Linked DNA regions of Stegostoma tigrinum. The protein of the gene in region 2 purifies or fractionates together with the protein of the main gene of each other region. This does not show direct contact. Links are inferred from orthologs where the notes say so. Each region holds a gene or a part of one and is shown on either strand. Other genes may lie near its edges.

Evidence for each region. The genes of interacting proteins can lie anywhere in the genome.
Region 1: the proteins of cuedc1b (region 2) and smurf2 purify together in Homo sapiens (co-immunoprecipitation; 3 studies listed by BioGRID and IntAct, with this or other methods). This does not show direct contact. The link is inferred for Stegostoma tigrinum from reciprocal best matches to the Homo sapiens genes CUEDC1 and SMURF2.

Annotation. Positions count from the first base shown.
Region 1 is NC_081375.1:10,563,389-10,570,723, reverse strand, and holds the start of smurf2 (E3 ubiquitin-protein ligase SMURF2), read right to left. Parts: upstream 3,241-7,335; 5' UTR 2,458-3,240; coding exon 2,406-2,457; intron 1-2,405. UniProt on the Homo sapiens protein: E3 ubiquitin-protein ligase which accepts ubiquitin from an E2 ubiquitin-conjugating enzyme in the form of a thioester and then directly transfers the ubiquitin to targeted substrates.
Region 2 is NC_081380.1:34,334,859-34,342,831, reverse strand, and holds the start of cuedc1b (CUE domain-containing protein 1b), read right to left. Parts: upstream 3,086-7,973; 5' UTR 2,815-3,085; intron 1-2,814.

The DNA of each region.
Region 1 (7,335 bases), on a different chromosome or scaffold from region 2:
ACAAAAATAATCCCAGCCTATCCAACCTGTCCTTATAACTCAAACACTGCATTCCCTGCAACATCCTGGTGAATCTCTCCTAAATCTACTCCGATGTAATAATATCCTTCCTGTAGCAGGCGGCCAGAACCGTACATAGTACTCCAGAAGAGGCCTTGCCAACTTCCTGTACAACCTCAACAATGACTTCCCAACTCCTATACTCAGAGGTCTGAACCAATGAAGGCAAGCTCGCTAAACATCTTAATGACCCTGTCTACATGTGACGCAAATTTCAAAGAATTATATAACTGAACCCCAAGGTCTCTTTGTTTTACAACACTACTCAGGGTCCTACCATTAACTGTAGAAGTTCTGCCCTTATTTGCTTAATCAAAATGCAACATCTCACATTTATCCAAAATACATTTCATCTGCCACTCCTCAACCCAATGGTTCAACTGATCAAGATCTCTTTATAATCTGAGATAACCTCCTTCACTGTTGACTATACCACCAATTTTGGTGTCAACTGCAAATTTACTAATCATTTCTCAAATTCTCATTCAAATCATTTATATAAACATACTTCAACCAAAATTATGCATGCATTTTCAGGCATTTATCACTTTACTTCTCATGTCTGTAATTCTTTTCAACAGTACATAGTTCAGTCATTCTTGTTTGAGCATGGATTCTAGCCCCACTCAAAAAGATCTAAGGACATATTCTCATGCTGGATTAGTATTACCACTATCTTTTGGCTCAGGAGTTAACTCAAGATGTCATGTGCCTTTACTCCAATCTGAACAGCCTAGCTCTGCAGGCATCCCAACCACCATTTATTCTTGAACCAACACCACTGATAACAGTAACTGAGTGTGCAATTCTGAAAAATGTTGGAAATCTGAAATTAAAAACAAAAACAAAATTCCATTAAGCCTCAGAATGGCAAGCAGCATCTGTAGACTAAGAAACAGGGTTAATATTTCAGACAGATGCTAATTCATTAGAAATGGTGTAAGGTCATCAATCTGAAACCTTAACTCTTGTTTCTGGCCTGATGAATATTTACAGCATTGTTTTTGCTATTACACTTCCCAACACAACAACATTGATGTTATTTCTAAAATGAAGCATTTTTATGTCTTTACAACATTTCAAGATTCCATAGAATGTGAAGTTTTTTTTGGAGGTGCAATTATGTTGTTAGTGCAGCACAATCCCACAAACAGAAGATTAAAGAGCAGACTATATGCTTTTTGAGTGGTCATTGAGTCAGACCGTTGGCAAAAAATACATACTCCCTGCTCTTCAAAATGATATCTAGGGATCTTTTAAAACAACCCAACTGTCATGCAAGACCTTAGATTTAATATCTCTTCCTACAGCCAGCAGCTCTTGCTATCACGACTCCTCTACTGTACTGAATGATAGGCAAAAATAAGCAATGGACTTTTAATCCACAACCTTCTTAGTAAGGGGTGAGTACATCATTTCTGAGCCAAGCAGACAGGCAAAACGTCAGCTAATGAAAATGTTAAGATGTCCAAGTATAATGTTCACAATATGCCTTTTCTAAAAAATACATTTTAGATATCATTTCCTATTTTGAATAAACCTGTTCTTAATGTAAAATGCCACAATTTGAAGGGTGGCTGTTTTCTCATAAACTTTCCAGAAACTAAGCTCCAGTTCTAAATAACGTAATCATCTTTTCATTGTGAAGTCCATGGAGATAAAATAAAAATATAAATATAGTGCAGAATAAGCACAAGGCAACAAAACTAAACTTTTGAACCGTTGCCAAGTTGGCTGTTGCACTTCTTTGGACGGGTGGGAACATAAATACAATTGGATTAATAAAATGCAGCAACTCGTAAGTCTTCTTGATCTTACATATTTTCATATTACAGACATGCCCGTATGCAAATCAGAGAGGAGTTGGTAGAAGCAGAAAGATTGTTTCGAATCCACACGCCCCCCCCCCCACGTCATAGGAATAACCTCAACAACCAAGAGTTTACTTTGCCAGGCCTCACACGTATTACAAGCACCGAAACCTCCAAACAGAAACAGGAATTTCCTGGTTATAAAATCATCCGAAGACACAACCCTTCTCCCCAAGCCCACATACAGGGAATAAGAAAAAAATTATTCAAAAGCAAAATCTGCCAGTCAGGAAAAAACTCATTCAAGTTCAACCACTCTTTTGTAAAGAAAATGTGTGCAAATGACATGACTTATTTGGCCACTCACGATTGGGGGTGGGGACAAAGAGAAGGAAACTACTAGAAAAAAAACAAAACAATCTTTCCATTCACAAATCATTTAAAAAGAGAAAAAGAAAGGATCCATTTAAAGCTCCAGGTCTTCATAACGCACAGTGTATATTACATATGCGTGTGCAATTCACAGCTTCTTACCTGTTAGACGTAACTTTACTGGCCCATTCCTCCTGGCTCCTTGATTAGACATGTTCCCGAGCGTTTATGTTTTATTTGTATGTTTATATTTTTTAAATGAGGTTTAATTCCGGCTGCTGCTGTTGCTAATGGTGATGGTATCTCCCGTTCGCCAGCGGCCGCCGCCGCTTTTCCCCCCTTTCCCCGAGCGAACAATGATGGCCTCCTCCAGCCCGGTGGCCCGGATGTGCATAGCCCACACTCACCAACGGACGACCAAAAAAAACTCGATCAAAATAAAAAAAACAAACATTATTTACCTCAGGAAATTTTTAAAAAGAAAACAACTCCCCTCCTTCAATACGCCGGAAAAAAAATCAATTTTTCACTTTTCTTCTAGATTTTTCTGTCTCTCTTCCCTTACTCAGACCGTCTCTGTGCCTCGATCAGTGCAACCAGACTCCCCCCTTTCTCTGTGTCTCGCTTCCCATCTTCGAATACAGCTCAGGATTGATCTTCTGTAGAGGTATATTGTTGTTATTTTGTCGAAGGCTCGAATCCAGTCGATTCGTTGTTGCTCTGATTTCTTCCTTATTTTTGAGAGTATTTCCACCCACAGAAAATCCACGCTCAAAACGACGAGAGGAGAGGTTGAGGGTTATTTTCCAGCAGCAAAAAGTTGTCAGTGATACTTTTTTTCTTTTTTTAAGGCTGAAGTCGCTGCTTTCTTCTCTTGTTTCGCTTCTTTGGTCGAAGTCCTCTCTCTACAGGGCTTCTCAACTGAGAGCCAGAACACAGTTCTTGCTGACATCACCCTGGTGCTCCCTCCCTCTTGACAGTCTGCAGCTCCTCCTGCTCGGGTCTCGGGAACAAGGCAGTCGAGAAATAGCACCAAGGAAACTTCACTGTTACTAAAAATGCGACTAAATGTGGTCGAGCTATGCCTGTAAATTTGTCAGAGCTTGACTTCGGATTATTGAGTTTACGAAATGCATGGTCTATCAATATGAAATCCACGATTGAAATGAAATGAGCCAGTCATTGAATGATACAGCATAGAAAAAGCCCATTCGTCCCATCGCTCTCGTGCTGCCTCTTTTGTACAGTTACCTAATTAATCACATTCTCCTGTTCTTTCCCCATAACTGTTAACCCCACAGTCCCCAACCTCCGCAAGCCAATTCTCTTTTGAATGTTACTACTGAACCTACCTTTCAGGCAGTGCACTGCAACGTCGCTGTTACCTCTTGTCAATTCAAGTTATTTTTGACAGTCACCTTAATTCTGTGTCCTCGAGCTGCCGATCATTCTGCAACTGGAAAGAATTTTTCCTATTTACTGTCTCACAACTATGATTTGGACTGAATATTTTGTCGGTTTTTTCACAGTGAAAGTCAGTAAAAACTTCGCAAGATTAGTAGAAATTCAAGGGCACGTTGAAGCAATCATCACTTTAAAAAATGTTCTCGCGAAACTCATGGGACTAAAAGGTGACAAGTGCTCTGGAGCTAATAGCTTGCATGAAAGGGTCTTAAAAGAATTGGCTGCAGAAATAGGGTTTGCATTGATTGTACATTTTCAGAATTCTGTAGATTATGGAAAGGCCCCAGTGAATTGCAAAATCACAAATAGAATGTCCATGTTCAAGAAAGGATGGATGTGTAAAGCTGGTGTGTGTATATATAGGCCATTTAGCCTAACATCTGTCTTTGAGAAGATGCTGGAATCTGATATCAAGCAAGTTTTAGCAGGGGTTTTTGAAAATCATGGTACGATCAAGCTGAGTCAACTGTGTCTATGAAGGAAAAGTCATGTCTAACAATTTTGTTAGAGTTCCTTGAGGATGTAATAAGTAGGGTGGATAGAGGGGTACCAAGAGATGTAGTGTATTTGGATTTTGGACAAATATTGATATGTCAGCATAAGGCTGAATGGATGAATTGCAAAATGTGGGCTTTTAAACTGCCAGGTTATGTTTAACTTGGAAAAGTGCAATCTTAAGCCTATGCATACAGTAGCTGCTAAGCATACATATACACCTCAAGGAAAGGCATTAACAGAAATGGTGGAAGAAAAAGATTTGATCATCATAGTGTATAAAACACAATTGACAGTAAGTCTAAGCATATTATTTTGTACCTGTAAATGACCTTAGTGTGGCTTCAGTTAGAATTTCGTGCCTAGTTTTGATTGCCTCACAGATAGGTAATATTGAGATATGGAAAAGATGCAGAGGAGGAATGCAAGATTAATTCACAATTGGAAACATCTTAGTTATCAGGATAGATTAAAAGATCTGAGACCATGCACTTCAGAGAAGGATAGGTGTGGGTGATCTGATCAAGTTTTAGGTGATTATGATGATGATGCGGGGAAAGTTGTGCTTGAGTAGACAATTTGTTGCAATTTAGTATGTAATCAAGGACCAAAGAACCAAATTTTAAATTGTAGAGGACCAGATCTGTGTTAAATGTCAAGATGTCGGTCTTCTTCTCAGAAAATGATGGACTGTGCATACAGTGGCAATTAATTGAATACTTCATGACAATTAGAACTGTTTCCAGCTAGGACAGATGTCACCTTTGAAGAAAGGTAGGTATTGCAGGAAATTGGAGGATTGAATGACATTTTCATGTTATTGACCCGACCAAACCACCTCAAAATATATTAAGAAGATGCCAATACCCTTACTTGCAACTCTAGCAGCAGGAATAGAACCCCAGCTTTTAGCAATAACAGAAAGAAATAAAAACTTCTGCATCCAACCTCAAGATCCCAGCAACTGCAGAAATCTAAAACTAAAAATCCTAGTTCTGTGGGAGCATGACCCCATTTATTCAGGCTGCTTCTATTGCTCCAAACTTTAAAAAAAACAGGGCCTCACAAGCTGTTTACTTTATTGGCTTTGAGCAGACCACTTATTACCTCTGTCTCAACCTATCTTCATAAAAAGTAACAGGGCAAAATATGCCTGTTAAAGCCATAGCATCATCACACTTGACCAGTTGTGATTGCCAAAGAGGGTCAGAAAGGAATTCCTAAACTTTTCTTCCTCCAACGTTGGTTTAGATTTTTAATGATTCCCTGGAGATTGAATGGTTTCAGGTAGAGTAAGAATGTATATATGGTAATGTAAATTTTTACCATCTAGTAGGACAAGGGCAGTAGATGCATTAGCAGAAACACCCATCTGCAAGATCCCCTCCAAGCCATACACCACCCTGGCTTGAAACTATATTGCCATTCCTTCATCGTCGCTAGGTCGAAATCCTGGAACCTCCTTCCTCACAACACTGTTGGTGTATTCATCCCATGGACTGCAGCATTTTAAGAAGGCAGCTCATGAGTGCTTTCTTAAGCAATTTAGGAATGGTGGATATTGGCCCAGCCAGTAACACCCACAGCTCATGAAAGAATGAAAACAAATGCACAAGATATTATAAATATGCAGGACAAGTCAGATGAACCAGAGTATCTTTCCTTTTCTGTTTTGTCATGTGTTCTTATAAACAGCAGGGAGAAAAAGTAAAATCTTTCTTGGTGGTGCTCAGTTAAGAGATAACTATTATTTTGATACCAGGAGAAAGTAATCTTTACGCTTATTGGTTCTATGGATCTTCTTTATCCATGTGAGCTCACACACTTAGTTTACAAGGCCTTAGTTTGACAATTTGTCTGAAAGACACCAGCCCCAGCATTTCTACACTGATGTTTCAGTCTAAATTTTGTGCTCAGATTCTGGAGTGCCATATTAATTCATGATCTTTAACCTAGAGATATGAGTGCTACCCGAATCAAGCTGCATGTATGATTCATAGTACCACACCAATTAATTTTGTTAATTAATACTTGCTGTAGCACCCCAAGTTATAGTCAGAATGTAATTTTTAAACTGAATCAGTTTTATATTTTTAAATGTCTTTATAGAAAGTGGCAAACACTATGCATAACATTTTTTTAATTCAAAACAACCAGTTATATAGCATATAAAATATATACTACAAATAAATAATAATTTCCATATGCCGAGATACATGGATATTAAAGAATGAGGGTGAGTGTGGCAGTATGATCATTTCGTACTGGAATAATTCTCTCCTTCCCTTTAGAGGGTGGGTGGAATACAAAAACGAACAAAAATGTCTTATGCATAGAAAATGATGTAATGATTGATACAATTAGTTTTTTTAACATTTTAAACTATGCATGACAGCAGAATAATTTTAAATTGTAAAGAAGTTTAAGCGCGTTTTTCCAGTAAAGTATCACCATGACTAATCAAAAAAGCGAGACAGATTTTTTCCCTGATGGGGATGTGCAAAGGCCACAAATCTGGTCTACATCCAGATAATAAAATAGATTTACTGGGGTTAATATTTTTTCTGGAATTTTTGTTTTACTGTCATTATATATTTTTTCCATTTTGTATTTTTTCTCAGGATATAGAATCCTTTGTCTTTGTAAATAGAAGCAGAGTGTACAAGAACAAGGAAGTTATGCGAAATTCAATGTAGACTAATTTTTTAAATAGTTCATACAGCAGTGAGTCATAACACACTGTTTATTGAAACATAAGAATGCTGTTCAAAGCAACAAAACTTGTTTACTAAAATTTGTATTTAAAGCAATTATCAGCATTTTGAGGAAATTGATTTGAATCACTTGCTGAAGTATTGAAGGAAGAGCTGAGAGTTATTTTCACATCACAACATACAAACAGTCATCTATCCTCATCAGCTGGTAACATCATCTAATCACATAATTTAGGAGGAAAATTCAAAACATTTCAGTAGCACTTTCAGAAACTAATTGTCCATGAATATTGAGGAACACCACTGATTTCTTTTGAAGTCAAATTTAAAGTTCTAACTAACTTGTTTCTATTTGTTCTAGCTGGCTCAAGCAAACAACTTTCAAACAGCTCATGCACTGTATTCACATCACATTAACA
Region 2 (7,973 bases):
GGCCCTTTCTTCACCAAACCTTTTCTATTCACATATCCATCCAAATGTCTTTTAAATGTTATAACTGTACCAGCTTCCACCACTTCTTCAGGAAGTTCATTCCACACAGAAGCCAACTTCTGCAAAAAAAATTTGCCTCATGTCTTTTTTTAAATCTCTCTCCACTCACCTTAAAAATGTGCCCCCTTGTCTTGAAATCTCCCATTCTAGAGAAAAGGAAACTACCATCAACTCTATCTACACCCCTCATCATTTTATAAACTTCTATCTGGTTGCCTCTCCTACGCTCCAGTGAAAGAAGTTCCAACCTATCCAGCCTTTGTTTATAACTCAAACCTTCCTTACCCATCAACATCGTGGTAAATCTCTCCTGAACCCTCTCCAGCTTGATAATGTCCTCCCTATAACTGGGTGACCAGAACTGGGCACAGTATTCCAGAAAAGGCCTCACCAATGTCTTGTATAACCTCAACATGACTTCCCAACTCCTATACTCAAAAGGACTGAGCAATGAAGGCAAGCGTGCCAAACACCTTTTTAACCAGCCTTTCTACATGTGATGCAAACTTCAAAGAATTATGTACCTGCACCCCTAGGGTTCCTCTGTTCAACAACACTACTCAAGACCCTACCATTAATTGTATAAGCCCTACCCTTGTTTATTGTACCAAAATGCAATATCTTACGCTTATCCAGATTGAGCTCCATTGTCCATTTTTCAGTCCATTGAAACCGTTTGATCAAGATCCCTCTGTAATCTTAGAAAACCTTCTACGCTGTCTACAATACATATTGTAGGATGCTTAGATAAGCTCAAGGTAATCAGACACACCAGCATGGTTTTGAGAAAGCTAAATCATGTTTGACTAACCTACTGGAGTTCTTTGAGGAGGTAACAAATGTTGTAGGTATACGGGGAATCAGAGAAAGTACTGTACTCATATTTACAGAAGGCATTTGACAGTGTGCCACATTAAAGGCTACTGTGGAAAGTAAAAGCTTCTGATGTACAGGTTAGCATCCTGACATAGATAGATTATTGGGTGATTAACAGAAAGTGCTAAATTATGTGTAGATGGTCGGCAACGTTTAACTAGTAGTGTGCCACAGGGGTCGGTGTTGGCACGTCTACTGGTTAAAAATTTTATAAAGAACTTCAATGAAGGGACAGGTGAATGGCTGCCAAATTTGCAGATGACACAATGCCAGAAAGGAAGGAAGGTTAAGTTGTGAAGAGTCTACAAGAGGTTCTGACAATATGTCATCAGATAAATTGAGAGGGCTGTGCTGTGCAAATGGACTGTAACATGGAGAAATATGAAAAATTCCATTTTTTAAGAAAAATATTTTTTAAATTACCTAAATGGTGGGAGATTACAGAGCTCTGAGATGCTAAGATCTGGGTGCCCTTGTGAATGAATTGCAAAAGAATAGGACACAGATACAGCAAGTCATCAGGAGAACAAAAAGGATGTTTTCATTTGCCATGAGTTTGATAAAAAAAAGTTAGGAGCCTGTGCTTTAGTTATCCAGCCAAAGCATAACTGAAATATTGTGCACAGTATTGAACACCTTATTTAAAGGTATAAGTGTGTTGAGGCAGTTCAGAGAAGGTTTATTCAACTTATGTCTGCAACTGGATGTGTGCTTGGTCAGCGGCGCAGGACTGTTTCCACTGGAATTCAGAAGGGTAAGAGATAATTCATTTGAAATATAAGAGATCTTGTGAGACATCAGGAAGGTAGATATGATGAGGATGTTTGTCTCTTGTGGGATCAGTTTAAAAATCAGGAGTCACCCATTTGATGTTCGGTTTTAAAAAATCGTAGGGTTGAGAGTCTCCCGTTGTGAAAAGTGGTGTAAACAGGGGTTTTGAACATGTTTAAGGCAGAGATAAATTCTTAATAAGCAAAGTTATCAGAGGTAAATGGAATGAAAATTTGAGGATACAATCAGATCAGACATGATCTTATTGAATGGCAGAATCGATTCGAGGGGCTGAATGGACGACTTTCCATAGTTTTTATGGTCCTATTTGTTTAACAATCTTTAAATGGGGGGGGGGGGGCGGTAAAGGAATTATAGGGAAGGGGGAGGGGAATATAGGCAATTACTGAACCACAGCGATCACTGTTCCCTGCATGTATTTCGATCAGTCTCACGCTTAATCATTGGCTTCAGAACCGAAGAGAAACTGACGACCCTGAGAAAACGAGGAATGGGGGAGGGGTAAGTGGCAACAGGAAGCAGGTAACCACGATGAATTATTTTCGCAAGTAAAACCCCAATTCTCTACGAGGGAGTAAGTTAAACAACTATTTGCAAAAGTGGGCCCTGACAGGAAGCCAAATGAGCTTTTAATTTTTGAAGGGAAGCAATACAAAATTCCCTTGCACAACTGATACAGTCCGACACATTGTAACACATGGGGAAATGTTTCCTGCTGAAGGAATGCTGTTTCACCGTCTTTTTTTAAAAAAGAAAGCCGCTCAGATCTTGACAAAGTATCCTCTCCAATACTGAACGGTCCTGATTTTGTCCGGTGTCTGCAAATCCACTTCTTACAGCCGCCGCTAAAGGCGGAACGAAGAAGGCCGAGTGAAAAAGAAACACACACACATTTATATATAAATACATACATACATAAATGCAAATCCAGCCCAATGCCAGCCCTCCTCGGGGTTGGGAGGAGGTTAAATCTCCCCAGATCCCATTGCAAACCACCCCCCACCCCCGTTGACAAAGCACTAATTGTAGCCCCCTCTGTTTCCCCCCACTCCAGTCTCCGGTGACCAGGATCCCGGAGCTACTCACCGGCAAAGGAGAGACTATAAACAGACATCCCCCTCACTCTCACTCCGGTCTCCTCTGTCCGCAGCAAGGGCCAGTAAAAATCCCAGCTCCGGTCCGTGAAGTAATCTTCGCTGGCAGCCACTCTGGTCAAGTTTGAAGGGGGTGGGGGGAGAGAGACGGCTGTAATGTTCTCTCTGTCTTCAGCTTCGAGGTCAACAGATGGAAATGGAGATGGAGCCGATTCAGAAAGGGTTCTGGCACGGAATCAGTGAGAGAGAGCAATGCAGCTTCCTAGTGGAGATCCTGGAGAAATGCAACTCCTGCTCAAATCATTTAACCAGACGGAATTAGCAAAACCCTTCGATGTATAAGAACCGCAAAGCTCTTGGTTTTATGAACAGACTGTGAAACGTTAAACAATATCGGTTTATTAAGCACCGTGAAACTCCCGTTTTATTAAACGTTGTAAAAGCCTCTGATTTGTTTAAGATTATAACATTATCTAACACTGCAAGACTCGGGCTGATGTAGAAATGTAAAAAAAATACTCCGGTTTGTCAAATGCCTTATTAAGCCCTGCAAAACACTGACTGCTATGTTAAACACAGCAAAATCGCCGCTTGATCTGGGACTGCAGTAGCATGGTTTATTTCGTTTGTAACCCCTGTAACAAGCGCTTGTAAAGTCAGTGCTATTCAATGTCCCAATTCTTCTGTTGCAATATGATTTACCATTCGTCATATTGTACCAGCTCTATAGACTGCCTTTGATTTGATTTGATGAAATTAGGTAAATGCATCTTTTCATGTTTAGTATATGTTTATGCCATTTAAAATCCGTCAACGAAAATGGAGATTTTCTTTGGTTGGGAGGACTAGAGATATTGTCTACTCCAAGCTGTCCTGAGAAGAAATGGAGGTGAAAGGTTACCGGTCTGAAACGTGAGTTCTGTTTTTCTTCTCTCCACAGATGCTGACTGACCTAGTGAGCTTTGAGGGTTATAGATTCATACAGCATAGAAATGGACCCTTGGGTCCCACTTGTCCACACCAAAACATTTTCCAAAACCAAATTAGTCCCATTTGTCTGCATTTGTCCCATATCCCTCTAAACCTTTCCAGACACTGTAACATTATTTACTGGTAATTAGGAACAAAAACAAAGTTGCTGGAAAAGCTTAGCAGGTCTGGCAGCATCTGTGGAGGAGAAAACAGAGTTAACATTTCAGGTCCAGTGATCCTTCCGCAGAACTGATGGTGGCTGGGAACACGTCAGTTTATATGCAGAAAATAGGGAGGTGGTTGGGGTGCGGAGTAAACTATACGATTGAGTCCAAAGAGAGAGAAAGACAGTTGGACAGACAAAGGAGTTGCTAACGTTCGGGCTGGGAGGGTGAACAGTTGTTAATGGAGACTGTTAGTGACTAACGGGGCTAACGGGGGGAGGGTGTGGAGTGGCAGGCTATGGGGTATGTGGGGTAGGGGGCTGGGACATGGGGGAGTTTAGGCCCTAAAATTATTGAATTCAATATTGAGTCCGGGGGACTGTAGGGTCCCCAAGCGGAATATGAGGTGTTGTTCCTCCGGCTTGCGTTGGGCTTCACTGGAACACTGTCGCAAGCCAGACACAGAGATGTTGGCCAGGGAGTAGGGTGGTACATTGAAGTGGCAGGCAACACATCAGGCCTTGTTACCACATAGCCTGCCCCCCACCCCCCCGTTGTTAGTCACTAACAGTCCCCATTAACAACTATTCACCCTCCCAGTCTGATCGTTAGCAACTCCCTTGTCTTTCTCTTTGGGCTCTATCCTATCATTTACTCCCTACCCCACCGACCTCCCTATTTTCTGCATATAAACTGACATTTTCCCAGCCACCATCAGTTCTGAGGAAGGGTCACCGGACCTGAAACATTAACTCTGTTTTCTCCTCCACAGATGCTGCCAGACCTGCTGAGCTTTTCCAGCGACTTTGTTTTTGTTCCTGATTTACAGCATCCACAGTTCTTTTGGTTTCTATTTAACTGGTAATTACTTCATTTTAAACTTGCAATTTTAATCAAGTCTTTTACACAGGAAGAAACAACTCAAAACTGGCAGTATCACTTTATAAAAAAATGTTTCAGGTTTCCAGGAACCATAGTATTTTGCTTTTGCTTTAAATTAGTAGCTCTGAGAAAACAGCGTGGGACCATCTGCTTAAATCGCAGCAGTCTGTATTGTGTTCCCGCTGTCCTGTTGGAGGGTTCCAGATTAACAACAAAAGAGAAATACTGATTGTACATCTTAAATGATTCATTTTGGGATGGAGAAGATGAGTCAATATAAAAGTAGAAGAACAATTCCAAAAGTGGAAACACAGGGACCTGGGACTGTACAGAGACAAAACATTGAAGGTGGTAGGACAGGTTGAAAGAACAGGAAATGAAGTATCACGATCCTGGGCATTTATTGACAGAAACAAGATATAAACAAACAACAAGCAAAAGCAAGGAATTACAGTAGCCCAGAATTAAACACTAATTTGGTCTCAGCTGGAGGATTGTGTCCAGTTCCTTTAGGAAGGATGTGCTGCCATTAGAGAGTACAGACTGGAGTGAGCAATTTCAGTTAAATGAATGAATAATATGAGAAGCTGGGGCAGTGCTCCTTCGAGGGCATATCTGAGCGGAGATTTGATAGAGGTGCCCAAAATCAGGAGGGCTCTGGACAGATTGGATAGGAAGAAATCCCTCCTTTTTCTGAACCTAGAAACAGACAACAGATTGATTGGCAAAAGAAACAACATGAGATGACATTAGCTTTTGTTTTGTAGTCCGAGAGTAGTCACAATTTGGAATGCACTCCCCTGACAGTGTGGCAGAGAAAATTCAAACATGGCATTCACAGAGAATTCGATCATTATCCAAAGAGAAAATACATGAAAGGCTACAGTGAAAGGATGGGAAATTGGGACCGGGCAAGTTGCTCTTGCTAACATGCCCAATATGTTCTAAAGGCTGGGGAAGCCATTAGAGTCTAATGACAAGATTAGCCATTCATTCAAGATGATGCAGTGTGAATGTAGGTAATAGGAACAGACCATTCAGCTTGTTGAGCCTCTCTACCTTTTGACTAGATCGCTGCTGATATTCCCACTTCAGCATTGGTTTCTCACTCTATTCTCATATCCCTTGATATCTTTAACATTTAAAAATCTTTCAATCTCTGTCCTAAATATACTCAGTGACTGGGCACCTACAGCTCTTTGGTCAAGAATTACAAAGATTCACCACCTCCTGAGTTAGGATATTCCTTCACAACATAGTCCTTGATATTCTATCTCTTATTCTAAGACTGTTGGTTCTATACAAGCTCTCCACCCTCCACTTCAGTCAGGAAAAGCATGCTTCCTACGCCTTGCCTGTCAAGCCCCATAAGGAAATGTGTTATGCTTCATTGTGGTCATTTCTCATTCATCCAAGTTCTAGAGAATACAGGCTCAGTCACCTCAACTTGTCCTCCTCAAACAGTCCCACTATGTCAGGTTGTAGTCTGGTGAGCATTTCTTGCACTCCTTACAGCTAGTAGTGCCAACACCATCAGGCAGGAATGCAGTAGATGGGCGCTGGGCTGACTTGAATGGTCACAGTCAGCATTTCAGCATCCCTCATGTTTCATGGGTCACATAACCACATTTTCCATGAAGCCATCCTCAAGCAAATGAAATCTTCATCACTGAGGTCTGTTACGAGGCAGTCTACTGGAGCATTCAGATGAATCCAGGGTGTTTTTTTGGGTTTAGGTTCTGTGTCAGTGTTTTGTTAGCTGTCAGCCAATAGTATTATTTGTTGAGGATGTTTTCAGGAGCAAGACACCTCATCCCACTACCCTGCCTTTTTCCTGTAGACTGGCAATTTCTCTTCTCTTCAGAAAGTGGTGTCTTAAATAAGGAGAAAGAGAGAAAGGTTTGTTTTTTTTAGGGGAGAGGGTAGTCCAGAGCTTTAAAGCCATGAAGGTAGCGTATGGTGGGATGAGGGAAGTGGACGATGCACAAGAGGCCAGAATTGCAGGAATGTAGAGTTTATGGAGAGTTTTCTAATGAAAATATAACTCTGCTTTCAATGGACACACACACTGTTGAAATCCCAACAAGTATCCGAAGAGTATCTGAGCACTGGTAGCTTTTCCTGCAGCAAATAAACAGATGTCTAGTTTTGGGGCAGTATGGATTTTCAATAAGAAATGTCCATCTAACTTCCTGTTGTGTTGCAGCAAATCCTGGCAAAGTTGTTCCTGAATCAAACTCACTTGTACCTCAATCAAATTTCACTCAAATGAATGAAGCCACCTCTCATTCACTCAGAGAGTGGAACCTTTGCCCAAACTGCTTCCAGTCTTGCTTCTGTGACACCCAGAATGGGCTACAGGGAGTGGGGTGACACTCCCTATTGACAAAGTCACAGTCGAGTTCTGCAAAATCTCTGCTCTCAGGTAGATTCTGCTTAATGAGATTCCAAAGCACAAAGCATGGAATGAGAACCAATAGTACAAGGCTTCCCATAGGACAGGGTGAGAGTTGACATTTTGGGGTTGCAGGCTTTGAGGCTGTAATGGCCAAACTCCTTTCGCTGATCTCATGGGTCTCCCTCCCCCATGGCTGCATACTGAGGGGTCACGACAATTTTCAAGCCTGAGAATGGAGTCACAGAGGGAATAGTTTAAGAAGCACTAACCTAGTATGTCTGTGTGATTATGGTTTATTACAGGGATTGAGAAATTTAACATGCTTGTCATTTATTCAAATTGTTTCCATTTATTTATTATCCAGTATTCAGTCTACTGAAATTTAAAGTTATTTCTCCCTCTGTATAATCTGTATGTATGAGCAGGCAGATGGTACCTCTTCTATATGTGGTGCTTATTGAGAAATCAAATTTGGTGCAGTTCCAACAGCATTCTCAAGAAACTTCACACCATCAAGGACAAAGTAGACTGTTTTTGATTGGTACGCCATTGACCACCATCAGCCTTCACTTTGTGGCAACAGTCTCTCCAGCTACAAGACACACTGGAGCAACTCACTAGCGCAGCTCCATCCACCAGCACTTTCCAAATCAGTGATCCCCACCATTTAGAAGGGAAAAGGCAGCAGCTACAGGCTGGAGACCCGAACAGAACAGGCATGGCCAGCAGGCTGGG